Alligator mississippiensis: one gene and its partner. Each later gene encodes a partner of the first gene's protein in a complex. Links are inferred from orthologs where the notes say so. Each region holds a gene or a part of one and is shown on either strand. Other genes may lie near its edges. The genes, in order: PLXNC1 and SEMA7A.

Region 1 (15,888 bases):
CTCTCTTTAGAGGGTAGGCAGCTGATTAATCATTGGCAATAGTAGCCTCACCCAACTTTTGCATGATTGCCTTGTTTCCTAATTCCACTTGCCCTGGAGGTTGGAGACCTCAGCTTCAGTGGATTCAACTCCACATATATCCTTTCTCCCATGATATGGCTCTAACCATAAAGTCTATAAGCTAGTTTGGGTAAAAGGCAGGGAACCCCTCCACTGCCCCACTTCTGTTGAAGCTGGACCAATGGACAGAAAGGAAAGCAAGAGATGGGGCCACAAGGAGAACAAGCAAAAGAACCTAATTCTGTAGCCCACTGATGAAGACACACACACATTTCACATTGATTAGAAAACAGAAATAACTCGAGGTCAAAGCCTATAACCCAGGTCTCCCAACTCTCAGCAGAGTGCCCTAAAACTAGAGTACAGAGTCATACTTCCTGTTGCTTACACTCCTGGTCCCACCACTGCTGCATTCCTGTCTGCCCAATACTCAACTTCGACAGGAAACATGAGACTACTCCCCACCCAGATTGTTCTATATCCTGGTGTTTGGGGCATTCTCCGGGGATGTGGGAAAAGTGGCTCTCAATCCCACCATGCTATACTGGCCTAGAATCCAAGTCTCCACCCCCCTGAGTGAATGCTGTAGCAACTAAATTCACACACAACTGTTTGGTGGCAGTGGCACTTCCACCAACCATTCTTTCGAGCTAAAGTAACTGTGGCAACTGAGCTCTGTGCCAAACAGTGCTGTTGGTGTGAAGTAAGTATGCTCAAAGGATGTCTAATGGCTGTCTTTTGGGGAACACAGGCAGTTTAGCTACTGCCCCACTACCATTCTAGATGACAAATGAGTTTTGCTAGGAGTTAGGCTCCTAGGGCTCTTACACATATGCAGAGAGACTGCTCCAATGCGCTGGAAATCCTGTGCATCACAGTAGACTCGACTGAGTCTACTGGAGCGCACAAATTGATGAGCTCTGGCAGCCTCATGCATCATGTGTATCAGCGGCACAGTACATCTCCATGCTGAGAAAATGGCAGTAGGGCGCTTTGAAATAAAACACGTTCAATGTGCTTTAGTTCCAAGCACCCCACTGCCATTTTCTCAGCGTGGGGATGTGCTGCGCTACCGATGCACGTGACACGCAGACACTTTTAATTAGTGCAGCTCAATAATTAAAAGCACCTGGTGTCGCATTGAGATCACGTGTAAAAATGCCCCTAGGTGCCCAGATTAGATCACTTTTGTGTATATGCCTAGGGAACTTTGCAATCCAAAATGTAGGTGCCTCCTGAGTTTTGAGGCTGCTGGAGTGGGGTCATTCTGGAACAGTGTTTGGAATGTAGGTGCATTAGGAGATTCTCTTTATATCAGACAAACAATATGTAATCTATTATTAGCTGTAATATATAATATATGCCATAATATATAACTGAACTATAATACAGTCCAGAGATGCTAGTCAAGAACGAAATCTCTCCTGTGCTCAGTGCTGTAGAACCACCTGGTAAGAGACATTCTTTCCCCCAATTTCTTACAAGCTAAACAGCTTGCAGGTCCAGTGCTTACTTGCAGGTGGATTCCTGATGTGAATGGAGTCTTATCACAAATCTAACTAGAGCCATTGGAATACTTGGGAACATCTTGGTCAGGCAAAGAAAGGGTAAATGGAAGCAGTAAGACCCAATCATACAGAAAAGTTAAGTGACCTCCCATGTTCTCACACCAAACCTGTGACACAGCTAGCAACTGAGCTCAGATCTCCTGGGTCCAAGTCCAATGATTTACCACGAAACTATCTGCCTACAAAAGAAGAGGTTTTTCCCTACAACTTAAATTAACTCTTGGTTAAAATATCTTTCTGTAATTTAAATGATTTATTTTTAATTAACTCAGAAGGCACATTTTGTGGGAAAAACTTGGTATTTAAACAAAGAGATATCTGTATATAAAAGGAAAAAAGGAGACAGTCATGTACTAGTATAGAACTGAAATAAATCAATTTAGGCATGAGACTTCTGTACTGTGGAAGTCTGCTTTAGATAATTATAATCACATGGTTTCCTTATCTTAAGAAAAAAAGTGAATTGACCTTTCCTTTTTCAGTACATCACAAGATTACAAGCTTCAACAGTTGGGATGTGTAGTGAGTTTTGGTTAAAGCTGAGAACTGAGGAAGTCATGATCTGCTTTAAGATTTGATTTCCATGACCACCATCATTTTTTCAGAGTGCATGCAATGCAGGGAAACCAAGTTATTCTAGGTGCCTTGCAGAAGTTATTTAGACCCTGGAATTAAATAACCCAACCACTAGGAAACACTATGGTAACTGTAAGTGACTTTAGATCAACCTCTCCGACTGACCCAAGAAGCAACACCAACAAGTTTGACAGTACCAGCTCAGTTCTTCTGGTCAAAGGCGGCGTCAGAGCTACATCACTTTTGTGTAGCTAGAAAAAGGGGAAACTGATTAGCTAGGCCATCAAAACAATCAACCAAAAAATGCTCAGAACTCTTTTGCAATCTATTTTCTAACTTGCCCACTCTTCAGGATGTAGCAGCTGCTACTCCTTTCATCGTTCCCACCCTTTTTAATCACACGCATTTATATTTTAACCATCTCTTTTACTCATCTACTGTGACTAATGGGGTTACAGCACTGCAGGACCTTCCCAGGCCTCTTCTGTCTTAACCAAAATGTGTTTTGATTCATTTACAGTCTAAGCTTCCTTTATATGGTAGTGGTCACTCTTTCTTTTCTTGTCCCTCTATCCTGTCCAACATAGCAGCTCATTGTAGTTCTTCAATCCCATGCTGCTCAAGCTTCTCTACTTCCAACCCCCCCCCAAACCCCCTCCCCACAACCTAGATGTCTCCTGAATTAATTTTGACCCTGCATTTCCATCATTTCTCCCTCAAACATATTCTATTTGTGATTTCTTCCCCTAGGAATCCAGCTGCTGTTGCTTAATTTATGCCTTTATTTTCTGCCTTGATTTCATTTAAATACTTTTTGATATAACCTCCTGGAGGTCAGGACTGTTTTTCCCTTTTTGTGTGGCAAACTTATTGCAGCAGATCATTAAGTACAGATATGGAATCAGATCCTTAGAAGGTGTAAGAAGCAACAGCTCCACTAACTTTCATTGCAGCAGTATTTATTTACAGCTACCAAGAACCTGGCCAATTATTCTACATTTCTTTTACTGCTCTGCAGTCAAACAAGGTCAACATCATGTTCTCAATGTAAACTAGCATCAAGTAGGCAACAGATTCCCTTTCCTTGAATATAATTCATTCCCTCAAAATAATTAACTAGTAAACATTTCCACTTAGAATTAGCTCCAGGTAAATCAGAGAATTAAGTTTGTTGTCCTAAGCTAAACATATTCTAATTATCCCCATGAAAATTTCAAAGCTGGACTGTAAAAAAAAATCTGTCTAAAACATTACCCATAGTTCCCCTCATAGTACAGTAGGAAATGAAGCAATCCAGCCAGGACTTACAAGAAATTAATAGCAAAGGACAGTATTTGGGCAATGACATGACTGGTTTTTTACTGAGTTAAGAACTTGGAATTTGCCTTTCCTTCTAACTTAACTATCCCCACCCATCTGCTGCATGATTTCAAGGAAGTTAATCCTTGCTTCCACAGTTCTTTAATACTCTCTCAAAAGTTTCAGGCAAAAACACCTGGTCAAGCCAGATGGCTCAGAGCTACTCTTTTGTTGAAAACTGATTATTTGAGAGCTTACAGGACTCCCGTGGCTTAATTCCCACACCAATAGAGACATACTGAGAAATCATCACAGCTAGGGACAATGTTGGTAATTTCCTATAGCAATGTCAAGTTAAATATATTGGCTATGGAAGCCTATTCTTCTGTCAAACAGCAGATGTAACACTGTCAGTCTGGTAATCTACAAAGGATAACTAGGCTACTAAAAAATTCATTACAGGTACAATCCTGACTCCAAATGGCTTTTCAACAACTTAAAAATCTTTCCTTGAAAACAAAAGACTTTGACTCCTAACAGACAAGCTATCACACAAGTGAAAATGTCATACCTGGAAGTTAAAAAAAACAGATTCTCCATTCACGGTAATGGGTGCTGCTCTACCAATTCCAACACTGACTTCAACAGACCCGTGCCAATTTATAGTAGCTAAGAATTTCACTCAACGTTCCCAATTATGTCTCAAATTCAGGGGCAGGCACTACACATCACCAACACATTCATTTCCAAAGAACATACGGGCAAAAGTATTGAGAAGCCTACAGTTATATGGGCAGAAGCCTACAGTTATAACTCTGTGGCTGTATTAAACAGACAGCAATCTAATAAGGGCTTTTCTCATTCAGTATTTACTACAAACAATGAGACAGTAATATTTCATGCTACCTTTAAACCCAATACTAACACCACAACACAAATTATGTTTGGCAAGTGCTGCAATGCTGCACCAGGCAGCACATGCACACAAGACTAGGTCTGGCAAGGTGCTGAGAAATTTGGCCTCACTCCAGTAAAGCACTAACATCCATGCTTAACTTTCAATACAGAAGTAATTTCTTTGAAGTGAATGGAACTGCTACTGCCCATAAAGTTAAGAATTGGCTTAAACTCTTTGCTGGATAGCACACTGAGCAAGATGGATCCTTTGCACGTTAATCAGAACCACAGCACCTTTGCTGTGATTAACAGCAATCAGGTGCTGGCAACAATCAGCAAATGAAAACAGCAATGTGTATATGGACAAAAAAGATTCATATCCAAGGCAGGCAGAGAGAGCTGCAGCATGAGACTACTATATGTTCTTTCTGAAGGCTGAATTTACACCAAAAAAGCAAACTCAGACCCTGCATCAGGGTGGATAAAAATCTATGATTTAAAAAAAAAAAAGATTTTTTATTTAAAATCAGTTTTATTTAATCATACTTTTTATTTTTAAGAGGCTTTCTTTAAAAAAAAACCCACATAAATATCGTTTTAATTTAAAATATGTTAAAGCTCAAAGATATCATGATGGAATAGGGATTATAACTTCTAATTACAGTATATATTAGTTGAGACAATATATTCATGTAACCTTAAATAGGTCAAAACAGGCCATGGACTATATTAGGGGCTCAATCTCATGGAGTTCTCAGAGGCTCCTCTATAGATTACTAAAGATTCAAGAAACCACTCTACCCAATGGGACTCAGTGCTCAGTCTAGAAGATCCCATTAAGCATTTTCTATGATTTTCTCTCTGTGATGCTTAGTTTCAGTTCTCAGACTGGATTTGTCTCTCCAGAGATAACATTCCTGTTAAGAACAGCATATGCAGATAAGAGATAACAGACCTGATTACCTACCCATTGACCCTCTTGTCTCTCTGCAAGTTTGTGTACACAAAGTCAAGCCACTACCTTTCTCTGACAGTGCAAAGTTTCAAGAAGTTAAATGAATAAAGGATTTCAAACAACAAGAATGCATTTTTGTAGAAAACCATTATTAAATCGAGGCTTCCTGACCAGTGATTTAAATCATGATTTAAATTGATTTGATTGAAATCAAATCCATCCCACCCTGCATAAATATAATGTATTGTTGTGTCCTCATTAACACACCTGCACCATCTTACACCATCTCATTCAGAACATGAATAGTAAAGATCACCGGGACTTATAACATGCATATTTATGTATGAGAGCTTTCTGGCAGCCCTCTGTTCCAATGAGTCCCCAGAGTTAAAAGTTTTCTACACCTCCATTTCCAGGTAGTGATAGCAGTACAATATGTTTGTTTTGCCATGACTGTAGCCAGATATAAAGAGAGATTTTTAAAAGGGCTGGGGTGTAAGCTAAGTTTAAACTATCGCTGCCTGCTCCATTTCTACACATCTGTGATGCACCTGCTGATGTGTTGTGGCACATGGCTCTCCTTTATGACTGCTGCAAAGTTATTGAAATTCTACGTACGGACTGCCAGGTTATGCATTTCGTGTCTGCAGATTTTGAACCTTTTGCTTTTTTGACTCTCTCTCTCTGACTTGCTTTGGAAGCAATTTTTATACCCTTTCATAAATGGGTAAGAAAGGAATACCATTGGGATAAAATAAAATAACAGTAGTCAGGCAGGCATTATCCACCTAAGCTTAGCAGCCCATCAGGATAGTGTTGGATACAGCACACCGGTTTCAGTAGCCAATGGTACACAAAGGAATGAGGTGGCTAGCAATGACATTTGTGCACCCCTGACTCTCCTGCTCAAGCAACCAAATACCCATTTACTTCAGCTGGGTCAACTGAAACTAGCCTTTCACATGAATCCAAAGCACAGCTCCACTTCATACCTCTAGGGCAACACAATATTTTAATCACCGTAGGGGCACCCTTCTTAATACTAATAAAGAACAATTCTTATTTTTTTACAATACTGTATGGACGTGGATACAATTTAACACTGCTGCATTTTTGTAACACAATCACTGATATTGTTTAAATGAATCTCAGGGTCCTTTCCAAGTTATGGGCCTGGTATCTAAAGTCAAGCAGTGATGGTAACTCTACTTCTCAAGGAGTTCCAACCAACATAACAGCATTGGTCAGTGAAGGACGGGTTATAATGGAGAAAGGGCACAAAGGCTGCAGAATCCCTGGTGCTTGGAGGTTGCCAGGGCTCTCTTTCTGGAAGCCAGGTCCCCTGTGGCTGTCCCCATTACTTTCTCAGCCTTGTTCTATTAGCCACAGCCCTCAGGATATGCATGGAGAGAAGAAGGTCAGGGTTTCTGACATGAGGAGTGGCCTTGCAAAAACAGCATCTCATTCTGAATTAATTTTTCAGCTGATTTCCTCCGGTTGCCAGGAAACAGCAACCAGAAACTGCCACTCCTACCTTCCACTCCATGTGTGAATGCCTAACTGTTCAGAGGGTGGAGGCAATAGCGTTGCATGGGGACGGGGGAGGGGGCTGATTGGGGCTCTCCACAGGATAATTCAGGTATGCCTCAGGACAGCCACAAACAATACAACTATTCCCACAGCCAACACTTCAGTAGCCAGTGGTACACAAGGGAATGATGTATGCAAGGGAGCCCCAACAACCCTACCACCCTGCACTGTTGCTTTGTCTGTCTCAATCTGTTTGTGAGCCTATGCTGAAGCACAGAGGGACTAGCAGCAGATACAAGCTATCTCACGCGCATGGAAAGCATCAGGGAGAGAGCAGGAAGCCTGGCGCATCAAGTTTCTCTTTGGCATCACCAGAACACCTCTTAAGGCCCGTGCTCAAGGTTACATATCATTCTGCAACCAACTGGTCACCTACACAATAAACTGAAACTGCAAAGGAAAGATCACACCATGAACGGGTGAATGGTGCAATACATTCAGCCCGGCCATGTGTGCAAAGGAACGAATACCCACACAATAGAAGGGGCAAGCCCACAAAAAAAGAGCTGCAGTACAACTCTGCAGCTGGCTTCTTCCAGCTGTCAGGTAGGCAGCTCACTGCACCTCATAGAGTCATAGAGAAGTCGGGTTGGAAGGGACTCCAGAGGGCACCTAGTCCAACCCCCTGCCTGAGGCAGGGTCATTGCCATCCCAATCATCCCATAAAGCCATAATCTAAACTCTACACATGCCTACCCTCAACCCTAACACAACACAGACATTACACCTGGAGCAGCCACAGGTAAAGCAGGGGAACCATGAGAGCCAACGTCCTACTTCTATGAAATGTTGACCTCGACCCATCTGGCTTTAATACGAATGGATAGTGAGGCTGTTCTGCCCCATGTGGTGGGGCACACTTTATCCCCACTGCCTGTTGGCTGGTGCCTTACACTCACGCGCAGCCCTGCTGAAAGAGAAGCGGGGCAGAAGCCCCTCTCTTCACATGAAGGAGCGCTCGGTGGAGCCAGGCCTGAAGAGGCCAGCCTGGCTCAGCCCCCCGGAGCCCCGAAGGGAGCAAAGTGCAGACTCACGCAGCTGGTGGGGCTGAAGTCAGAAACACATTTCGGGCTGGCGTCCCGCAGGAACGCCAGGTCGAAGAGGCAGAGCGCAGTGTTGTCCCAGGCCGGTGCGGCCCAGGCCGGCCGCTCTGTTTGGTTGGCAAAGACGGCGGCCCAAAACCCTTGCTGCGGCAGGGTGCTGGAGGCCAGGATGTGGCTGCGGCAGCCGCAGCTCAGGCGCACCTGGCTAGGTGCCTGGAAATGCCGGCTGGTGTTGAGCACCACGACGCTAGGCGGCCCATGGGGCAGGCGGTAGTAGGGGAAGAAGAGGTGATCGTGCCACAAGAAGGCGTCCACAAAGTGCAGCGGCGTCTTGTTGTACTTGAGCGGGTCGAAGCTGTCCATGGGCATCAGGTTCCCCAGGTCGCGGATGGTGAGGACAATATTGGCCTGCGAGGTCACCAGGCCGCAGCTGAACTGCCCGTCCAGCGAGTAGACGGCGGCCACGGCCAGGTAGTCGCCCGACTTCTCGCCCCCCGGCCAATGGAAGACGACGCCGGCTGTGGAGCCGCGGGGCAGGCAGCTCACCACCTGGCTCTGGTTGCCCTCCACCTTGAGCCCGCGGAGCAGCTGGCAGCTACCGTGGTGCAGCGTCCAGCCCGCGAGCAGCCGGTCGGTGCCGTAGGGCAGCAGCAGCTTGCTGTGGGCGCCGGCAGGCTGCGCGCACTGCCCCGCCGGGCCCATGTGCAGCACGTCCCGCGCCCCGCGCAGCGCCGGCTCCAGCTCGTACAGGCAGCTGCCGCCCGCCGCCAGCACCGCGCCCGGCCGCACCGCCAGGCTCTCGATGTCGTGCGGCAGCGCCAAGCGCCCCGCCAGCAGCGAGCCCCCCGCCGCCGCCAGCGCCAGCAGTAGGGGCAGCGCCGGGGCCAGCGGGAGGCCGGCCGGCCACCCCCTCCCCGCCCGCCTCATGCGCTCGGCGGCTGCCGCCCCGCTCCGCGCGCCTGCCGCCGCCGCTGCCCCATGGCTGCGGGAGGGGCCGCGCTGCCTCCGCCGCGCCCGCCGCCTGCGGGCGGGGAGTTTCTCCCGCGGCGGGGCCGGCAGTGGGCCGGGCTCCCGCCACAGCCCGCTCGCTGCTGCCGCTGCCCGGGGAGCCCGAGAGAAGGCACCTGGGCGCAGCCTCGCCCCCCCTCCAGTACAACGTGACAGCGTTTCAGGGGCTGCTCTCCCCGTGGCGGGCTCGGGGCAGCTTGAGGTCGGCTGAGGCCCCTTCCGGCCCTGGGACTCACGGATGGACTCTATGATCAAGTGGCCCCGGGAGTGAGTGAATGGTTGCTGAGCCACAGTTTCCTCTGAGCTGCCTGTCACCTGCTTCTTTGATCACAGATCCCCAGCTTGCCCCGGCAGCATCTGTGGCAGGGGTGGGCAAAATGCTGCCCGAGGGCCGGATGTGGCCTGCCAGGCCATTCTATTCGCCCGCGGGGCCCCTAAAACATTTAGAAAATTAATACTGATCTGCCCTGAGCTTCCTGCCAAGCAGCCCTCTGCCCACAATAATTGCCCATCCCTGATCTGTGGGGTGCTTGCCCTCCATGCCCAAGTTGGGACTTGCACTGATGTTTGGCTGTGGCCTCCTACCCTTTGCCGCGATCAGCTTTGGGTGAGCCTGTCTATTCTGGGAGCTGCCAAATCCAGGCACTTGGCTAATTTTAGTGAAGTGTAGAATGTGAGAGGAGGAGGGCTGGCACAGACCGCCAGGGGTCATCTAATCCAACCCCCTGCCTGAGGCAGGATCATCCCTATCCAAATTGTCCTGTGCAACCCATCATCTAAACTCTACATAAGACTACCTTCAAGATAAAACTGAGCTCCAGCTGCTGGGGGCTGCAATAAAAACCCATAAGCTGAAGTCACATAGAATTTGGACCCTATACACTAACCAAAGTAGATTACATTTCTTTCGTTCTTTCTTCCATCTACTTTGGTAGTTATATATATCTGTAGCACAAAGCTTTGGTGAGCTGAAGCTCACTTCATCAGATGTCATGGAACCATAACAAAGACCATCTTCCAAACATGGGCTGAGGTTATCTCCAGGGTCTCTCCAGGTCAATCTTCTGGCCACTCTAAAGTTCCCTTCCTGATGTAAGGTGGCACTGAACACGGTATTCTGCATGCCCTGTCTCGACCTGGTCTGACATATTCTGTATGAGATTAAATTCTCTTTGGAGACGCCTACATTTTGGTGGTGAGGACAGCAACTCTTCTTTAGTCTTGCCATCTTTATGACAAGTCCCACTGGGATCTATAGGAATTGATATGTCATTGGGCAATGGGGTCTCAGCTAGGACCTATTTCTATAAGGTATTGAGCCTTCTCAACTTCCACTGCAATCATGGGTACAATTACGTCCTAGGCCTGGGTGTCTAGACCAATGGTTCCCAATCTTTGTTGGACCATGGCCCCACTGCCAAGCCCTGGACCTATCTTCCAATCACCTTGCAGCTGCAAATAACATCCCCCCCCCCCCCTTGCTTCCAATCCAATCTGCAGTAATTGAATTCTTCTTGGACTCTGAGTGGAGTCACCTCAAAATGATTCTCTTAGTCACTTCACTACTATCTCTCTGGTGATAACAGAAAAAGAAACCAGTTTTAATTCAGATCATCACACCATAAAAGGTTTTTTCAGCAAGTCTTCCATGGCGATATACTGCACCTCTATCAAAAAAGTTGCATTTCTTTGGTGTAGAACAAGCATGATGGCAGAATTTCTTGCTGTTCCTCCTGACGCACAAAAAGAAATCTAACTTCTCCAAACTATATGTTTGCATAAGCAAATGTGCAATTTCACTGAAATTAACTGTGCAGAAAGAGATAACTTGTTGAATATTTTTTTCTCCTGGGTCACTTCCAGTAGGGACTCAGCAAAAGCAGAACCATATTTTACATACTCAGCAAGCAGCAGATAATCTATTTTTGCTGAGTCCTAAATAAAATGTGACTATGCAAGGAAAAAAATCTTAATGTTTTCTCCTGATAGAGACTGGAATCTCCTAGTGGAGGCAGACATAGGGCTAACTTAAATAAGAAAGTGCATGTTTAGAGTTGAGGCACCAGTTATTCTAAAGGTCCTTTTCACAGCTAAATACCATATAGTAGCCTATATTTAAATGAGAATCATGCCCTATATTCACATACAAGAAGTGTAACATGCACAACAGATTTACATTTCTTTCCTCAAAGACCACATCCAGTAGCAGTTGCTACATGAGACACTTACTTTTGCCCTGGATCTGCAGGTTCAAGTAATCAGAGCCCCTGACATATTTCATTCCCACAGCCAGAACCCTCTATTTTTTATACTCCTTCATAGGCATTAACTGAAAGAGTACGTACAGATCCTAAAAAATGCAATGTAATGTGATGGAATTGTTATCGGGTATAGCTTGTCTTCACACTAGAGATGCAAAGCAAGCACGCTGCTTCTGGTGAAGTAGTAAAGATGTACTCTTGTACAGAACTAGGCTCTTAGTCAATATGTAAGCATTTTTTTTTGGCAAGCTGATTTTGCTGAAATACACTGCTTTTGCAGTGCGAACTTGGTTGAACACTTGACACTTAACACAACACTGACTTCGTATCCGCTTCTTGGTTTAGTTCAAGGTGTTAAGTTATGAAGCTGTTTGTAGTCTAGCTTTTGGCTTACTTGACCTCATGACATGAGGCCAACAGTGAACTTTACTAACTAATCCTAGTTTCACATCTCAGTGCACAGGTGGGAGGCTACATTCAGCAAACGGACAATATCTCTAAAAGCTGTTCTTCTGTGGATTTCTTAAAAGCTCAAGTGCATTGACTTGCAGGGTATGTCTCCAGTACCATAGCAAGGGAGGGGCAAGTGGGGCAACTGCCTCAGATGCCAAAGCAAAGGGGCACCAACAGGCACCAGCCAGGGCAGGGCACAGGACAGAGCTGCGAGAGGCTTGTTTGGGCGGGGCGCAGGGACATGGAGGGGTCAGCTCCCACCACTGCGTGCACCCCCAGGCAAGCATGGGGGGACGTGTGCCCCTTGGATCTGTGTGTGGGGCAAGGGTGGGCTGCTGCTATGGGCTTGCCCTGGGTGCCAAACTTCCTTGCTATGGCACTGTATGGCTCATTTATTTATTCCTCTTCTTGTCTAAAGTAGGCTACATTTCTTTTATCCAGAGGTTGTTTTGGACAACTGACAGATTGTTACAGTGAGCTTTTGCTCCTTACTGCAAGGTGCTGCCAAACTCAACTTCTGTTGAAGTTTTGGAAGTCTACAGCTATTGAGGGTGCTCAGGCCTCCCTCAAGAGAAATGGAGCTGGATTAAGCTCATGCTGAAATTGTGGAAAATGAAAATGAATGTACTGAACTAGTACTTTATATAACTAGGTGCTGTACTGTGCAAGTGATTGTAAAATATTTTTACTGGCATAAAAGTAATGAGAGGCAGGGCAACTGATGTATGTTTACAAAATAAATGTAAAATTACAGATATTTTTACTGCATTTACTTCTTTATCTGTACAATATAATATTTGTTCTTAAGACTATGGTTTCATCCAAAATACTACTTCATTTTCACTTTCCATATTCCTAAATCCTGTGGAGAAATCTGCCAAAGTAGAACCAGCCTGTTTTATGTTGCATGTTTGACATGTTGATGGCCATATCTTGAACTCTTTACTAAAGCATAATTCCCAGTGAAGTTAACAAATTATTGAGTTCCCATTTACTCCTGAAGTCTCCTCCTGTGAAATCTGAGAGCAAAATGTAACTCAGAGTTTTGCCTGAGTGAGAACTGAATTAGGACTCCAGGACTTGATCCTATGCATGTGAGATAAAGTGAAGTGAGACCTCTTCTTAGTTTCCAAATACTGATTCCAGATTCCATAAACTGTGTTCATTAGCAGAGGAACATATCTATTCACTTCAAGAGAAGTTAATGAAACACACCAAAGAGTGTCCCTTGATTATTTAAAGGAGTGGCTCCTGAACTTTTTGGACCAACCGGCCTTGTTTTGCAGCAAGACTAAGACCTCCTATTGCCTAATCAGTCTGTTTCCCCTACTGTAACTCCTTCATTGTCAAACAGAACACTTCTTGAGTTAACATTTTACACAGTAATGTCTCTCTATCCACAACTCAATAGCCTTCTTTCTCTCTTCCTTATTGTTCATTTGCATGCCAAATTTAGCAGAGTTTAGGATTTTATAGAGGAACTGCCCAAAACAGACACCACCAAATGTAGCTTAAGCTTGAGAACTCTACATTCACTTTAGAGTGCCCCTGCAACTGCTCCTGAAATTTTAGATTTGAATGTAGTAGTTGGTTGTTTCTGGGCTTTCTCCTTTTTTTCTATTTATCTACAGTAAGGAAATTCCAGGTATATATAGAGTCTTCTGTGACCTAAAAGAATAAATTCAACTATCACAAGCTATTTAGCACTTAACTATAAAAGTTCTCCAAATAATGCAACTGCGTAAAGGAGGTCAGTGCTCTAAAGTGAAGAGGATGCTACCACAAAGTCAAATATTTATGTACAGTAGATTTCTGTAGTTAACAACACTGCTGTGCATTGTTTGAGAAGAAAGAGGAAGGAAGGAAGGAACAAGTTTTCAGCCCATCTAAGTGACACTAACCATTCTGAAGGACTGACCAAAGAAATCATGAGCCCAAAGCATGTTTTCTTTAAGCATTTCATTTTTTTTCTTTCTTTAATGTAATTTCCTTATCAAAAGTTTTTGTGGTATAAAAAAGGAGGAGCAACTCGGAATTTCATGCAGAAAAGAAATAGCACTTTCCCCTCTGCTCCATGGAACTAAAATATGCTCCTCCTATTCTAAGTCACAAACTGACACTGAGAAAGAATGCACAAAACCTGAATTCTATTTCCAGCTCTGCTACAAGCGTGTGTGTGACCTTGGACAAGTCCCATAACTCAGTGTGTCTCCATTTGCCTTCTCTTTGAGTGGGGGATAACAATATTTTCTTGTGTGCAAAATATTATTGCAGAATAAGTAGAACTTGCTTCAAATGTTGAGTTTTTTATGAAGGAAAATGAGTTTGTACACTGTTCTGTACATGTCCTTTCACAGCTCAGGCTCACAAAGACTTATGCTTTATATCACTCTGACTTAGTTAGTCTACAACATGCAGTTCTACCCCCTCCTTTTAAGAGTGACCTGAACTGTTGCTCAAGCTCTGTCTATAGTCTTCACAATCATAACAACATTAATGGGATGTGTGAAATCAGAGAGGGGAATCTGACCCACTTGAAGTTTTGCTTGTATGAGAATTCAGTAAAGATTTCAGGACTTGAGCTTATATACATGAGTTAAAAAACAAAGGAAGATCTGTTCTTAGGTGATTTCACGTTGCTGCCTCAGTTGCCTCCTTTCTGTCTCCTTTTCTCTCCTTTGCATGCCAATGTCATCAATATTAGGCTAATCTTTAATAATGTAGGTTACTGGATGAGTTTTTCAAATGCAGCCCCTGCACAAGATTTTAGTAAGCTTTAACTCTATGAAAAATGTGAAAATCCTGTATTATTCCATTATTAAGATCCTTCATGACAAAGAAAGGTGTGATAATAAGTGCTAAAATTCTTTAAGAGCCCATTTTAAATTAATTTTAACTCTAACAGATTTACTTGTAAAAACTCCAAACACTCATTCAGTATTCAAGGTGAGAGCTGTAAATTGGAAAATAATATACTGTAACCTTCATCCCTAAAGAATAATGCCTACTTTAAAGTCCAGAATTTAAGTTTATCGATGGAATTGTTACTAACACTTGCATAATGGAATTCCACAGTAAGTGCCTCCATAATAAGAACAGGCTGCCTATGGAAAAATCAAAATCCCTGTTACTGTTCTTTTTTTCCTGTAATTTCCAAAAGTAGTTTCACTGTTCTACAAGCTCATGACCTTTGTAAGTATCCGTGGCCACTTATTTATAGTTCCAGCATTTAAGTGTCATACTTAATTGACCCACACTAATATTGCATAATTTGACACATTATATCATTTAGTAGTCAAATCAGATTCCAAATACTGTGTTCATTAGCAGAGGAACATATCTATTCACTTCAAGAGAAGTTAATGAAACACACCAAAGAGTGTCCCTTGATTATTTAAAGGAGTGGCTCCCAAACTTTTTGGACCAACCGGCCTTGTTTTGCAGCAAGACTGACCTCCTATTGCCCAATCAGTCTGTTTCCCCTACTGTAAACTGGCAGAATGACTTAACAGAAAAAAAGCTCACCGTCAGCAGGCTCTGTCTGGCAATACTTGATTTTATAAACAAGGCACAGAAACAAGCTAATAAAATCGGAAAGTAAATTGAAGACTCCTGGAGCCCTGTGTTCCCCCAAAGTGGAACATGATCGTCTCAAATAAATTATTTCCACTTAAACTTCCCAAGTGCCTTCCATAAAGGCTTTTCCTAAGCAGGTCTACACAGCCAAAGGCTGAACTGAGGTTAACTCCTCATATGCTATGCTGGATAGATTTTATCATATTGTGATTGAAGATCACACGTTTCCCTAACTTCACTTCCCCTTTTTTGTTTTTGTTTATGAAAAAAATTACAAGGAAACAGACTGTTAGGATCACACAGAATAGCCTAAACCTATAAGATATTAAGTTTTTGAAGAGTGGAGTCTAAAAATATTCTTTTCCCGTTAAGAAATTTCTAGTAATCATAGAAAAAGATGGAAAGATGAACACATGACATATGAGAAAAACAGCTTCTATATGGAACATTTTTTTGAAGTTTTCCAGGTAACAGTTGCCTTTTAATGCTCAGTTCTCTAAAATTACTCTCCACAAAGGCAGGACTTGGTAGTTTCTCTTTCCATTAGCTTTAATTAAAGTTTACTTAATTTAACCAGAGAAGTTTCAGTTGTGTTTTTAAAA
Region 2 (16,035 bases), on another chromosome or scaffold:
ATCTTCACACAGCAATGTCTGCTGGAGACAAAACAAATTCATTCATTGGAATTCATTCTTGCAACTGATGTTCCAGCCTGTGCTAGCTTTCTCTCTAATTAATTTGGAAAAGGGCAGCTGGAGGCTGCCAGCCGAGATGCTCTGGTTTATCATCGTTAGCGTGTTTAGTTTTTGATCACTTCCAGTGCAGCTAGGATGGGGGTTTTGGTGATTAAATGAAAATAAGCATTATATGTTAAAAACAATCCACACATAGTGATTCTTTGATGTCTGCCATTAGGGAAGTTTGGGGAAGTCCTGATTTTGCCTGCGAATGTTGGAACTCAGGCTGGACTACAAAGGCATAAGTGGCCCAGTACCGCACTGTGGGGCAGCAGCAGCGCACGGTGCAGGAGCGATCGGCAGAGGTTTCAGTGCTGTGTGGAGACTTCATTTTTCCAGTGGTCACTTCCATTTTTTTGCCACCAGCGCATGTTGAGCAGCAAAGAAAAGGAGGTGACATCTCAATGTGCGGCTGCTGCTGCTCTGTTCTACCTGCATCCAGCGCTACTGCAGGAAAGGTGCAGGGTCTGTGTGTATGGGAGGAGGGAGAATAGGATGAGGTACCCTCCTGTCTCTATTATGGCCCCCCCACTCCTTAATGCCTCAGGCCCATGCCATCCTTGCTCACTCATCATTACGTTACTGCCAGACTGCATGGATTTAATCAACATAGCATGTCATACTTGCATGAAACCAACATGTGAAGCTGTAGGGTTTTTTTAAGGGAAAGGCCAAGAGTCAATTGATGAATGGCCATTTGAGTGTCTGGTATCTTCAGCATGTCTCAGTTCCTGTATTTCTGCTTTGATAATGCAGGGGGAACTCAAGCACCTGGCTTATCTGGTTTCGGGCACCTCGTGAGAAAAAACAGTTTGGAAAGAGCAGGTTGCTCTGCTCGGTGTGAGCATTGCATTAGTTCCATGATTTTTTTTGACAGCTGAGCTGTGACCATCACAGCAGGATGGTGATTTAGCACAAAGTCCCGTGATCTGCCCAAGCTCTGCATAGCTGGGGAAAGGTGAGTGCAAACCAACTCTACATTTGCTTGTCTTGGGACAGCCCACAAGCTGATCTGGTCCCCAGTTGTCAACCCTGTAGGGCTCAATATTATATTGATGTCTCTGGTTACAAGAGACCATTGTCATAAATCGGGGACCCCTTTTCCAATTCACATCCCATTAGGATGGAATAGCTGTGCGTTGGCCCAGCCTCTAACCTACTAATTCTGAGGCTAATAAAAACCATGGATAGATATTGGTGATAGGGCCAAAACCCAGCTTTTAATGGAAACTGGCTTTTCAGTGCTGTAAAGTGCTTTGGCATCTCTCAAGGAAAGGAACTGTAGTCCTTAGGATCAGTCTGAAGGCAGAACATTGTATGGGACTTCAATATAGGACTTCCACCTCACCACCCAGCAACTTGGCTGATAGGTGTGGTTTCCAAACCATGAGATGCCAAGTTTTATCCTTGGGTGAAGCCTTGGGTTTTGTAATGTGGCCTAGCACAGTAAGAGCAGGAGCAGAGATCAGGTCTATTTGTACAGCTGGAAACATGGGCCTCCAAAGGGCAACTCAGTAGCATCTCAGCTGCTGTTGCTACTGGCTGTTTTAAGTTTCTTGTTCCTCCTGGCTGCAGTTACTTACTCCTTTCTGACAGGGGTGGCCAACCTGTGGCAGGTGTCCACAAGTGGCACAGGCAGCCTCTGTGTGTTACACATGGTTTAGGAGCAGGGAGCAGAAAGCAGAGCAACAGATCAGGCCGAGGAAGGGGATCAGAATTGCACGCAGGGAGGGTGCAGGGTTTATGTTGTGCCACACCTGTCAGAAAGGTTGGCTCACACTGCCTTAGGGCTTTCTCCATTGAACTCATAGGGAAGACTTCCCTTACATGCACCTTGAAGCAAATGCTGCTTCTGGCCCAGAGTTAGCAAAGCACATAAGCTTGTGCCTAACCTGAAATCTGTAGTTAAAGGCCCATCAAACTTCATTCTCTCCTGCATTAGGCCTTCAGTACCCTGCTATAGGACCATGGGATGAGCTCCCTGTCTCTGATAACTCACCTTTGTGAGCTCCATGATAAAAGCTATTTCACTGTGCAACCAGCAGGGGACACTAGCCACAGGAAAATTGCTCTCAGCAGGGATTTTTGCCTAAGTAACAGAGTTGGTTTAATAAAAGATATCAGATTTACCCAAAGAACCTTGCCTGCCTGTGTCCTTAGACCAAAACGGCTACAACCAACACCCCAGGGTAATATTCTGACCCTCTCTCGTTGAACATAGGCAGGCAGATCAGGGACAGGAGATAGGTCTGCTCATAAGTCCATGCACAGATCTGGAGTGCTGAATGAGGGATTTATCACCCAGAAGAAAAAAACACCTCCACTGAGGAGAAACAGGACAGACGAGATTTTCAGAAGCAATGATCATTTGCATCTGAGAATTCCCCCTCCTCTCCTCTGGCCTGTTTAATTGCATTACAATAAAGGGAACCAAAACACATGAGCAAAACCCTTCTGCTTCATTAAATTCTAAAATCTGAACCAGCTGCCCTGGATTTGAGCCCTCGAGTTAAAGTTTCATTTTCTTAAATGTCCACAGAATAATTTCCCTCTGTAGACTGTTTCCTTGTAGTGTAGTTGAAATGTCATCGTCATGCATTATCATGAGTTGTGTGCGTCTTGCAAAGGCCAAGATAAAAATAGCAGATTTAGAGATGTCTGAACAAAGTTTTCCCAAAATATATCTAAGTTGCTTCCTGCAACCTTTGTTGTTTCCCTTTTATTAGTTTCTTTTCTTACAAGCAGCCAAGTGAAATATAATCAACAGGTAGACAAAGGCTCTTGCAAACAGAGAACAAAATTAGGGTAAAATAGTTTGGTAAGTTATACGGACCCCAAATTAAGCAGCATTGAGCCAATACTCAATGGTGTGGAACTTGAAATGGTCCATTCAGGCATTCAGAAGAAAGAAAAGGACGGATGTAAGCTACGTACTGGGCTAGTGTGGTTAAGGTACACCAGTTTCTGGTGCTAACCATTCTGTCTGACCATGACATCCCAGTCTAGGTGCCCACTTTATAGCTTGGTTGAAGGGAGAATGGCTTTTATGTCACAACTTGAACTCTTGCTTCTGGATTTATAAACCCACATCCCTCCACTTAGAAGAGAGCTACGTAAATCTATACAATGACCTGGAAATGAGAGCCTTCCAAAGAAGCAATTTCACAGTGACTTGTTGGAGGGCAAGGCTATACCTCCATGTTGTATGTATATGTGTGTGTGTTTATAAAAATAAAATATGTGTGTGTGTGTGTGACTAGAGATGGTCTTGGATTAAAACCCCTTGATCTGAACACTCTCAAACATCTATAGAATGTAAAGCTGGATATCACTGACCACAACCACCTACTCAGTGCTAAGATAAGAATACCTGGGTATTAAATGCTCAGATGCATCTAAGTCAGGGAAGAGCAGATTGCTGTTATTTTTATTACCAACAAGAGGAGAATCCTAGTTCATCCTGCATCCTAAAAATTCTCCAGCTACAAGTTGGTAGATTTCTTTAGACTGTGGAGCTCTGGAGCAAATTACCAATTACATCAGGTAAATGAGGAGTTACCCCCTTACTGGCTGCTCATGGGTCTTTAATGATTTCTCCTTGATTGCTCACTTAATCCACCTATTAGACTATTAGCTTAAATGTAATCCCATTGCTCTTCCAAAATTATTTGTTCCGGTGTATGACTTTCCTTTATTGGTCCAACAGGCTAATATTAGCACAAATTTTCTAAGACATTTTCCTGTTTATTGATACATTTTCATGGTCAATCAGGTGAGTCTGACTTTTGCAATGCAGTGAAAGTAATGGATGGCTTAGGTAATAGATTCATAGATGTTAGGGTCGGAACGGACCTCAATAGATCATCGAGTCCGACCCCCTGCATAGGCAGGAAAGAGTTCTGGGTCTAGATGACCCCAGCTAGATGCTTATCTAACCTCCTCTTGAAGACCCCCAGGGTAGGGGAGAGCACCACCTCCCTTGGGAGCCCATTCCAGACCTTGGCCACTCGAACTGTGAAGAAGTTCTTCCTAATGTCCAACCTAAATCTGCTCTCTGCTAGCTTGTGGCCATTATTTCTTGTAACCCCCGGGGGCGCCTTGGTGAATAAATACTCAACAATTCCCTTCTGTGCCCCCGTGATGAACTTATAGGCAGCCCCAAGGTCGCCTCTCAACCTTCTCTTGCGGAGGCTGAAAAGGTCCAGTTTCTTTAGTCTCTCCTCGTAGGGCTTGGTCTGCAGGCCCTTAACCATACGAGTGGCCCTTCTCTGGACCCTCTCCAGGTTATCCGCATCCCTCTTGAATTGCGGCGCCCAGAATTGCACGCAGTACTCCAACTGCGGTCTGACCAGCGTCCGATAGAGGGGAAGTATCACCTTGGACCTATTCGTCATGCATCTGCTGATGCACGATAAAGTGCCATTGGCTTTTTTGATGGCTTCGTCACACTGCCGACTCATGTTCATCTTGGAGTCCACTAGGACTCCAAGATCCCTTTCCACTTCCGTGCCACCCAGCAGGTCATTCCCTAGGCAGTAGGTGTGCTGGACATTTTTCCTCCCTAGGTGTAGCACTTTGCATTTCTTCTTGTTGAACTGCATTCTGTTGTTTTCTGCCCACTTGTCCAACCTGTCCAGGTCTGCTTGCAGCTGTTCCCTGCCCTCTGGCGTGTCCACTTCTCCCCATAGCTTTGTGTCATCTGTAAACTTGGACAGAGTACATTTCACTCCCTTGTCCAAGTCGCTGATGAAGACATTAAAGAGTATCGGTCCAAGGACCGAGCCCTGCGGGACCCCACTCCCCACACCCTTCCAGGTCGAAGCCGACCCATCCACCACGACTCCCTGGGTGCGACCCTCCAGCCAATTCGCCACCCACCGGACTGTGTAGTCATCCAAGTCACAGCCTCTTAGCTTGTTCACCAGTATGGGATGGGATACCATATCAAAGGCCTTCCTGAAGTCTAAGTATACGACATCCACCCCTCCTCCTGTGTCCAGGTGTTTCGTAACCTGGTCATAAAAAGAAACTAGATTGGTCAGGCACGATCTGCCTGCCACAAACCCATGCTGGTTTCCCCTCAGCATAATTTGTCCTGCCAGGCTCTCGCAAATGTGAGCCTTGATAATTTTTTCAAAGACTTTGCCAAGGATGGTGGTGAGACTGACTGGCCTATAGTTGCCCGGGTCCTCCTTCCTCCTCTTCTTGAAAATGGGGACCACATTGGCCCTTTTCCAGTCCTCCGGGACTTGGCCCGTATGCCACGAGCGTTCAAATTTTCCTGCCAGTGGCTCTGCAATGATGTCGGCCAGTGCCTTCAGAACCCTCGGATGGAGCTCATCCGGGCCTGCCGACTTAAACGCATCCAGTTCTTCCAAGTGACTCTGCACCATCTCAGGGTCTACGCATGATAGTCTGGCGCCCTGCTGCTGCCTCTCTACAACCCCAGTGAGAGACTTGTCTTGCCCCTCACTTAGGAACACTGAGGCAAAGAACTCATTGAGGAGTTCAGCCTTGTCCCCCCTGTCCGTCACCAATTGCTTCTGCCCATTTAGCAGGGGCAAAAGAAGTAAGTACAAGGCAAAACCAGAATTATAGTGCTTAAGAACAGAAGTATGAACACGTGCAACTTCCAGGTTTGCAAAACTGAAAGTTTTAGGTGCAAGCAAAAATTTAGCTTCTGGTTATTGTGCAGGACTGGGAAATGATGTTCATGTTTCATGCTGTTGAAATACGGTCCAGATTCACATGTAAAATCAGTCCTTTTGTGCTGCTTTGGCTGTGTAAAAGGGGCTTAATGAATTATATTTACAGGTCCTCAACTGGGTCCTTTCTTCTGCAAATGGCTTTAAAAGGATATCTGGAAATCTGTGAACTTGGTCTAGAAATGCAGCTACTTCTGGAGTGGAATGTAACAGCAGCATAATCATTTAAGGTTGAAATGGAAGAATGTCGTCTGAAAGTGGAAAAGGGAGGGCCTTTGCATCCCTTAAAATGTAATTACCTAACATGTTATTTGTAGAAAAAGAGATGGGAACAGCTTGCAAAGAAGTCTTTTGGGGGCTTAATGTTCAGACTTCAGTTGACCTTGGTTTTCCATTTACTGCAGGTGTTAACTTTCACTAGTTCACATAAGCAGGGTGTTCTTCATTACAGTTTCAATATTACATTTCCAGTGGGGAGTCTCATCTTCCATTCAGTATCAACCATACTTTGCCCAGATCAGCATTTCTCAACCCGTGGATCACGACCCAAAAACAGGTTGCAAGAATGAAGGGGTCAACAAACTTTAAAAATGGATCAAACTTTAAAAATGAATTCCCCTTTTAAAGGACAAAGACACAGGAACCTTTGGCTTTCTGCCTGCAAACTGGCAGAGTTACAGTCTGTAAGGGGCTGTTTGCCCCCACACACAACCCCCCACCCCACACACACTGGGGGGCTGGGGCCTGGGGGCAGTGGGTCAGGACTGGCCATCAGTGTTCACAAATGGGTCCTGGTACAAAAAACGGTTGAGAACCACTGACCTAGACAACAGTACCTAGCTCTCACAGTGAGTCCATCACCAAGCCTTTTATAAAAAAGATTGACATCACTGCCCCCATTTTCCAGACTAGGCAAGCTGAGGCATGGAGAAGTGAAGTGACCAAGGCAGGAGTAGAACCCAGGATCTCTGAGCCCCAGCCCAGTAACTTCTGCCTCCCCCACATAAAGCATCACCAATTTTAATTTTCAATTAATTTGATTTTAATTTTAAATTTTAATTTGCAATTTAATTGCAAATCTTACCAAATTTGGAGCTTTTTCTTAAAGGGCCAGACCCCAAAGTCATGCAAATGTATCAGATCCTTAGCTTTCATTAGGAACACTTTCTAGTGTTCACCTTCAGAAAAGTTTGACATACCTTCAAGGGCTATAGGGCAAAGAAAGAGAACCCTAAACATACTCCAGCATTGTTGGTTGTAGCCATGTTGGTCTGAGGACATGGGCAAATAAGGTTCTTTGGGTAGATACAATATTTTTTATTAGATCAACTAAACAGCTGGAAAAAATTGTTCTTTGCAAGCTTTTGGACACAAATACCCTTTTGGACACAATCAACCGTGTGTTTGTGTCCAAAGCTTGCAGAAAACAGTTTTCCCAACTATTTAGTTGCTCTAATAAAAGATATCACATCTACCTAAACATACACCTGAGTTTTAAATGCCTGGGATCCATGGTCCTGGAGAAGCAGGCACAGGGCTGTCAGGTGTCCCAAAGCACTGAGAAATGTCCTTTTTTGTGTCTCAGTTACAGCAGATCTCTCATGTCTGCAGCTGGGGTTGAGAGTCCATTGTTCACCTGGCTCTGGCCACTGAATCTGCAGTGAGGCAGTAGCTACTCCCTATTTCTCATCAGTACCGGTTCCCAGGGCTATATCTGATTCTCCAGTACTCTCTAAGGAGTGCCTTAAATTGCTCCTCCTCCTCTCAGCCCCACCCTTCACTTATTCAAATACTGTACACTAGCGCAAGCCTAGCAAAGGGCTTCTTCTGTGTTCTGCTTCTCTGAGTGCCAGAGATGGGTGCCAGCTCTCCAGCAGTCTTTGCTTTCACCCTGTGGACCAGCTACCTCTGGCTCCTGGCAGCTGGGCACTCCAGGGTGAACCCTAGACTCATTGTCCCTTTTCAAGGTAAGTGTCAAAAAGCATTTGTCTGTGACTATTGTGAACCTAGAAATGTACAAGCAGACAGTGTGATTTGCAAGAGAAGTAAAGAGCAAAGCTCTGCATTCTGAGCACTGCACACATCTGGATGTTATTTCCATGCAAAACCGTTATAGTGGACTTGGTCTTAATTTGGCTCTAGCTCTTCCAGAAAGACAGCCCTATGGAAAGGAGCCAGCCTGTCTTCTATCTTACGAGCTTTGTGATTTTGGTTTTTTTCCCTCTCCTAATATAGATTTAATCCCTCTGATTTTTTTTCCCTCCTTCTACTTTCTAGAGATGATCATTCACTTTCTTAAAATCATAGAAAATGAGGGTTAGAGAGGACCTCAGAAGGTCATCTAATCTACCCCCCTGCTCAAAGCAGAACCAGCCTCAACTTAATGAGACCTTTTTATTTTATGAGTTTTGTGATTTCCACCCCCCCATTTAATTTAATCCCTTTGATTTCCCCCTTTTTTTCTAGAGGTGATCATTCACTTTCTTAATGAGATCTTTATGTTTTATGAGCTTTTGTGATTCCCACGCAATTTAATCCCTTTGATTTCCCCCACCTTTATTTTCTAGTGCTGATCACTCGCTTTCTTAATGAGACCTTTGTCTTTTGGTCCATTTCCACATAAAATAATATACTTAGGACTGCCAATAAGATCAGTTCCTGAAGATTAACTGTTCTTGTCACACTGATACAAAAGAGGCTGCAGTTGTTGTTATTAATAATTATGTTTTATAGAGTGATTAGTTTCCTATTCAGCTGAACGATTGTGTCTGCTGTCTATGTATCAATTTGTCCTTGTAAATGCTTAGTTTAGATCTCTTCCTGTGGAGAAAAAAAATAAAACCAAGGTGAGTGGTGCATTGCCAGTGTAACAAGGAGATGGGAATATAAACTGAACAAAGTGGAAGCAAATGCCTTGTTTGTTAGAGCAGGTTATACCAGTGCATGCAAAGAAAAAGATTAAAGCATCTTTCAAGCTCATCTATCAATGTCAGAGGAGGGTGCTCCTAGGAAGCACTGCAGTGTTTCTGTTGTTTTAGCAGGGGCTGTGCTGAAAGTGGAAAGCTCTTGTGCCTTTGTGATACAACCTCCTGGCTCTTTGTTGAGTGAAGGGTATGTTTGCACCCTGCTTGATGGTCTGGTTCATTAGGGACCATCTGTTTATTCTTCAGCCACATGCTCTTTGTAATTAGTGCTGCTTAGAAGGAGCTGTAAACAGAGTATTGGGAACATGGGGTGGGGGGAGGATAGGCTGGGGGGGGGGGGGGATTGTGGCCTGTTATATTGGCATGGGAGATGAAGTCATTCAGCACTGGGGATCTGGGAGAAGGTGCCATTAGCATCATGCCTTTGTCTATCAAATTATGCAAACCTTAATGGGGGAGGGAGAAAGCCTTATACATAGAGGAGAGGGGAAAAACAGTTCCTGTCTGGGAAATGTAGTTTCTCTAGAGACAAATGAGTGAGTGATGTTCCTGTTAAAGGGATCTAAGCAGCAAAAAACCCTTCTCAAGCAGGAATCCTTGCAGTGGAAAGAGCAGCCTGAAGTGATCAGGTTTCTGACACCTGCTTCTTGCTCCCTATATGTACTTGTGATAGGGTTATTTAACTGCTTGTTTAATATATCTGTGCAGTAAGCCTGGCTTCCTGGCACCAAATGCAGTCTCCTGTGATCGTCTTCACTAATGAGTGATAAGAGGCTTTATGGCAAACAGACATGCTGAGGTCAATCTTCAGTACAATAGATACAGGACAGGGAGAGATCTCTTGGATTGTGGGGTGTGTTGGCAAAGGGCTGGGCTCAATCCCATTATCTAGTCCTATTAATAAATGTATCTAGTACTATCTTAAAATGCATCCCCCCTCCCCCCGCACTTTCCCTTTATACTTTTACTAACAAGCTGCGCCGGGGTTTTGTTCCGTTTCTGTTAGAAACGGGGCATTTCATGCAGCCCTTAAAGTAATACAGTTGGGTCTAGCTGCCTATTGAAATCCTTGGGGTCAGCATTCACTGAACAGCTGGGGATCCAATGATATGGCCTAATTAAAGATAGCACTGATGGGCTGTGCAAGTCTTGCTGCCTGTCCTCTTTCATAGCAAAGCCTTTGCAGGGGTAGCCTGGATGCCTGAGGAAAAGGAGGTCAAGGGGAGCAAAGCAACTGTAGTGGTTGATTGTCTCTCTCCTGGCTGCATTGCAGCTATTTAGGTGATAAGTAGTTTGGGGCAGGATCTGGCTTCTGTTTGGGGGAAATGCCTGGTAGGGTTCATCCCTACCTAATACCTGTATCCCTGACTTCACTGCCAGCATGGGGACAAAGCTACCCAAGGACTTTCTGGCTCTGGAGATGAAGGGTGAAACTCTCTGCCGGAGCTGCAGCAACCCCAGATCTTGCCAGCAGTGAGCTGTGCTCCTAATGCCATTTGCACATGGAGGGCAGGGCTGGGAGAAACTTTCCCTGCAGCTGCTCTTCTCCCCTGCTCTAGGGAGAGGGCTCTAGGCTTCTGGTTGTTCCTTTCCCCAGTACTGATTTAGTAGAGCTGCCACAGTACAGAAAGGGAGCTGTATCTATAGGAAGACGGCTCTAGTGTCCTCCAATATGGCTCTGGTTAGATGTGGGAGCTGTCCAGGTTGTGTCGGGATATAAACCGGAGTTGCTCTGTTGACTTCAGGGAGTTAGGCTGATTTCCTGGTCCCATCATCTACAGTGCCCCTGATATTAGTGATAGTGATGCTGTCTCCAGAGGGATCAGTAAGGGAACACCTCGTGTTGTATGCTGAATCCCGTCCTTCGCAAAGACACTGTCAGTGTTTATAGTCCCCCAGTATCAGATCCTTCCTTCTTTACCTTTTCCACCCCCAGACTTTCTCCCATTGATTAAATCTTTCCTCTTGTGAGATCATCCTACAGCCCTAGAACAGGGAGGATCATTAATCACAGGGACAATTTGCCTAATGATTGTGGTAGAGCATCTATACCTGGCAATTTGTTTAAAATCAAGAGTGGTTGCTTGTCTAGAAGAGGTGCTCTAGTTCAGATAAATCTTGGTTGGTCTTTCAGGCTATGCGGTGGGTAAGGCTAGACCGTGGCATCTGTCCCTTCTGGCTTTGAGCTCTGCATCCTGGCTGTTACTGCTGGGTGACCTGCACAGAGCTTTAAGGGAAGGTGCTAGGAGGAGGCACAAGGTTTTTAATCCAGTGTGGCATGCCTGGGACTGATGCTGCAGAGGAAGGGAGGGAGTCTGACAGGGTAAGGAGTGCAAAGGATCCATTGACTCCAGAAGCACAGGAGTGTGCTTCTGCCCAGAGCTTCTCCCCCAAATATATAGGGAACTTGGGAGTCCCAGTGCAGAGAATGGGAGGCTTTGTTTGACATGCATTCTCAAGGGGGGACGCTGGCTTTGGAAACCTGGCAGGAATAACCGCTTGTCTCTAAGGCCTTAAACCCACCCTGGTATGGGGCTCCAGGATACCTCACTTTGACCTCTTGTGAGGCTGGAGTTGAGCCTGACAGCTGTCCTGTTTGACTCCATCCTTTGTGCTGGGGTCAGGCTGGCTGGAGAGCCCTGCAGTGACCCAGGAAGGACTGAGAAGAGAGTCCAGAAAGCTTCCATCTAGTTTTCCAGCTCGCACTTAGATGAGCAGATCCATTGGCCAGCTATATCCATACAAAAATCCCTTAATTAAGAATCCAAGACACCCCCCGCCCCCCGACAGCAGCCTGCTTCTGAGTGTCATTAGAGCAGGGCACAGAGGCACAGTTTAAATGCTCCAGTGCAGAGAGGTGCTGGTACCACCCAGGCTGCCTGCCCATCACATAGGAGACATAGGGTGGTACGAGAAAAGCAGTACAGTTTCATGTTAGCTAGGGGGAGAGTTTCTCTGCCCCTCCTTGCCAGCTAAGGGAGGTCTGGTGCAGTTGACTCGCATTTCTTCTTGCAAGTACAGTGAGGATTTCTTTATTCCCAGGAAACTAGTTAGGTGAGGCTCTTGGCTGGCTTTCATTCAGAAAAGTTTTGAGCTGTCATAGTTTCAGCAGATAGCCTGAAAATGAGATTGGAATGCAGCTCAGTAGTATATAGCTCACGAGTTCTGGCCATAACACAGCGTTCCCTGTTTGCTGTATCATGAGATCTCAGTCTCATGATGTTGGGGCCCTGATTTTTGATGGTCATGCTGTTGGTTGGGACTAAGCGTTCTGAGTGATTTGATCTTCTTCTGACCTGCGTATTGATAAATCCAGTCCAAATAAAAAGGTCTTGGGTGGGGCTGTAATTCTGCCTTTATTATACAGTCCCTGACTGATGTGGCTGGAAGTCAATGGGGTGGACTGCCTCAAAGCAATGATCCTGTTTAAGAAAGAGAAGGAGTCCATTCCCAGCTGGAGTTGGCTTTGGGATTCCAAGAATGGCATGATTTCTGAGAGGACGAAAACTGGCCATTTCATCCAATATGGAAAGCAGATGGTTGTGAAACTGCCTGAAATGGAGCAGCCTGGATGTCAGCCTGAAATCTGGCTGAAAATTGCGTCCTGGTTCTGATACCATTTTGGATGAGCTGAGTGCCAGCTGGAGCTAAGAAGCAATGCCAACCTGTCAGGGCATAACATGGCCTGGCTGGGTATGTGCAAGTAAAGACCTGGTCTGTCATGCCTGGGGGTTGTCTGGGGCTCTTCAAATGGTTTTTGATGCCCCTTAGTGTTCTCCCTGTCTACTACAGAAGCCACCACAGCCCATAGCCTGGTATGTAGTTGGTGAACAGCAACTTGAAACCCAGCTGTCTGCTAAGCTTTGTCCTCCTCAGTTGTGGGATCAAAGGCATTTGAGCCAAGCCCGGGATCTGAGTATCCCTCCAAATGTGGAGGGAGCTCAGATTTTGCTTTGGATGGTGAAGCTCAGACTCGCTTCTAATGATTAGGGCTCCACATCTCCCTCCAAACATTTGGCATTAACCATTGTCAGGAGAATAGACAAAGGAGGCCAATGGGTCTCTTCTGGGTGCATTGAACCTCCCGTTGTCCTAGTGAAGGAAGATGCGAAGGTCTGTTGCAGACACCGTAACCCATCACTGGACAGAGATTTCAGCAGTCTCACCCTCTGCCAGTGTAGAAGGAAGTGTTTCCAAGCTGGTACATTATGTTCCTTTTAATATCCCCCTGCCTTTTGGCACATTTTAGAACTTAAACACTGGCCAGCTGGGCTTCGCTTTGCAAAAGGTACATTCAGATCCTGCGCTGAGCCTTGGCTCATCGGATCAGTCACAGGTTTACATTCTGATTCTGGCTTCAGAGACGGAGAGCGTTGAATGCTATGTGGGGCTGCGTGTGCAGGGCTGTTTCATGGAGCTGGGAGATGATGGCACCTTGTCCATGGAGCAGGGGTGTGGCTGCATCTTGGACATGGTGTTTGGTTCTCAGTGCCTCATGACTACCATGCCCATTGAGTATTTTAGAGATGGATCAACGAAAAGCGAAGGAGAGATGTGGGGCTGGAAGACCTGACCAGAGGTCACCCTCTTCCACCTGATCCAGTTGGGAAAATAGCTAGCTGTGGAGGGCTAGTCTAGATGCATTACAGCAGTGATTCTAGCCTCTTCCATGGAGAGACTAGTGGAGGGCTTTGCACCTCTCTAGCCAAGACCTCTCTCCCAGTTGAGCATCATGGGATGGCTCCCATGAGTGTCTTCTCCTGGCAGGTTTATGACCCCCATCAGCTGGTGACCCACCTAGGCTAAGTAGCAGGGTGCTGGAATTGTTGGTGATGATGGTTGGCTTTATTGACCAACATGCCTAGATACTACTGATGTCTGCTCTACAAATACAACACCAGCCCCTTTAAAATAGCTGCAGCAGGAGACATGAGCTGAGACACTCAAAGATGGTCCAGACATGGGTGTGGGATGGAGTAGGCTCCACAGCCACCGAAGGGCTCTTCCAGACTGATCCATTAATAGCAGGTATCGGCCTCCAGGTCTCTGTCCTACTCCAACGTCTCCTTTTTGTAGGCTCCATGGGGGATCACCTATGTGATTCGTAGCTGCCTCTGCTCAGGAGAGCTCTGTGCAACTCTCGACCCACATGAGGTTGGCAGGGCTTGGTGTCTGAGGGGTTAAACAGCAGAGATTGAAGAAACCCACATTTCCACACCAGCAGCAGATGGTCTCTGCCAATTTAGCTGCTGTTTCTTGGCCTGTGTTCCCTGTGGTACAGATCTCCCGCTCCATCTCCTTGTGCTCAGAAGTGCTTGGCCTGGCTCCACAAAGCAAGGGCACCATGGGTTTGCAGGGCGTGTATCCATCCTCCTGGGGCTGACCGATGTGGCTGGCAAGCAATGTGAAAACAGAGGGCAGCCAGAGCCAGGAGCCTGAGTCATGTTCCCAGTGCTGAAGGCTGCTTTTTTCTGCAATAGACTGCTGTGCTCCTCTGTTTGCCCAGGAGATGGGAGGTGAAGGGCATGATCCTTCCCTTGGGGGAGAGTTTGACCTAGGTGGCACAGAGCTTCAGCCTTTCTGGAAGTCCCTTTCCTGGCAGCAGTTGGCACCCCTCGGGGAAACCCCAGTGTAATAGGGCCCCCAATCAAAATATTCTTCCCCACCTCATATAGAGTTAGAAAATGAAGGGAGTGATTCCTTTACCCCTCTTGTGTTATAAGAATACAACAACGGAGAAGACTGGAAGGAAGTCTCAACATGTGGGCTGCTTCCCAGGGCACATAGGACTTGTAAACCAGGATCCGTTTCAAATGAAGTCCATGCAATCAACTCACCCTTGTTCTCCCCCTTTCCTAGTAGCCTGGTCTATATGGGTAAGTGCTCTGCTGCCAGTGTACAATCCCATTGCTGTAGAGATAAGTCCTGCATCACCAAGGGTGATTGTGCCAGCCTGCAAGGGACAAGCCACAGTTTCCCACATTTCTCTCCTTTAAAGAGAACTCATTTTTAAAGTTTGTTTGCAACCCTTTCACATATTCTTGCAACCCACTTTTCGCTTGCGGCCCATGGGTTGCAAAACACCAATGTAGATGTATCCTGTGACTGGCCCTACTCCAGCATCGTGACCCTTGCAGCTGCTGAACTAGAATTCGTATCCTCTTCCCCTTTTGGAGTGGCAGGAGGATCAGCAACCAGGCTCACACCAGAGGCCTGTCTAGATCACTGGTCCACTTCTGACCATAATCAGTGGGTGGGAAGTCCATGAAGATGAGTGGAACCCCATGAAAACCCACCAAAAAGTCCATGTAAGAAAAGATAATTTTTTTCCCCTTCTTCCAGAAAACTGAAAGCTGTTATATTCCTCTCAGTGAGTTTCACCTGCTATGAACTTCCCTGCTGTTTTTTGTTTTGTGGTTTGTTTGTTTTTTTTCTAAAAATCCCTGACCAGTGAGATCTCTCCAGGTCTTGGCCAGTTCCAAGGCAGGCTACTGAAGCAGTAAGATGCAATGTGCTCTCTTCTCCACCTTAAGAAAGGGATATGACCCTCTCCATGGCCCACTCCATTTCCCCTCCCACCAAGAATACCAGGCAGTTTGCCCTGTGCAGTGGGCTGGGAGGGTTTTTTGACCTGGCCTGTAGTTTCTGCCAAGGCTTAGTCTCATCCCATGACTTCCTTGGGAGAGCAGCCTGCCAGCAGCCTGGAAGGCTTCTTGCTTCCAAGACTGTATGGAAGTAACTGCTGAGACTTCAGGCTGCTGAGAAGCATATGCCACTATTAACTTCCTAGGAAGGAGTGGGTAGGTTACTTCAAACCCCTCTGTCTTGTATCAGTACTGTAGCAATCACACACAGAGTTATATGACTTGACCTGGAAAAGGTGTAGGGGCATGATCAGCCAAGGTGATGCCTGCTGGTACCCAGTGAAGTGGTGCTTACTGCTTATTTCCAAGCTGACTGGAGGGGTGGGAGGCCTGCCAAGTAGTCAGTAAGCGTTAAGCCCACCCCACAGGTGCAGACAACTTAACCACAAAAATAGGATGAATGAAACTTTCTGGTATGATCCCTCCCTAGTGTGAGCACTTCCTCACTGAAAAACCCTTTCTGTTCCACAGCTGCTCATTTACAGCTGAGTTTCTGAAATGCCCTTTAACCTTCCTGCCAGCTGCCCCTTGTAGCCACAAGGCACTTAGTGTTCTCAGCACTGCCCATCATTTCATATCCAATGTCATCACAAGTACACCGCCAGCATGGGGCTTGGCTGGTGGCCATTTTTTGCCATCTCCAGTACAGATACTGAGCAG

Evidence for each region.
Region 2: the proteins of PLXNC1 (region 1) and SEMA7A are in contact, whole or in part, in a crystal structure (PDB 3NVQ), measured with the Homo sapiens proteins. The link is inferred for Alligator mississippiensis from reciprocal best matches to the Homo sapiens genes PLXNC1 and SEMA7A. Residues at the interface, in NP_005752.1 of Homo sapiens: Arg131, Thr151, Glu152, Val153, Asn195, Pro196, Ala197, Ala198, Ser199, Asp200, His201, Thr203, Ala206, Lys208, Arg213, Ser214, Leu215, Ala216, Thr217, Gln218, Glu219, Leu220, Arg222, Lys224, Glu272, Ala350, Ser352, His353; in NP_003603.1 of Homo sapiens: Gln194, Tyr196, Asn197, Gly198, Lys199, Arg202, Arg204, Tyr213, Ser215, Asp216, Thr217, Gln270, Gly271, Gly272, Glu273, Ser274, Ser275, Leu276, Val278, Ser279, Lys280, Pro372, Thr375, Glu376, Phe378, Gln379, Asp382, Arg383.

The regions. Positions count from the first base shown.
Region 1 is NC_081827.1:88,308,992-88,324,879, reverse strand, and holds the start of PLXNC1 (plexin-C1), read right to left. Parts: upstream 9,000-15,888; 5' UTR 8,916-8,999; coding exon 7,980-8,915; intron 1-7,979.
Region 2 is NC_081834.1:41,941,306-41,957,340, forward strand, and holds the start of SEMA7A (semaphorin-7A), read left to right. Parts: upstream 1-7,601; 5' UTR 7,602-7,662; coding exon 7,663-7,774; intron 7,775-16,035. UniProt on the Homo sapiens protein: Plays an important role in integrin-mediated signaling and functions both in regulating cell migration and immune responses.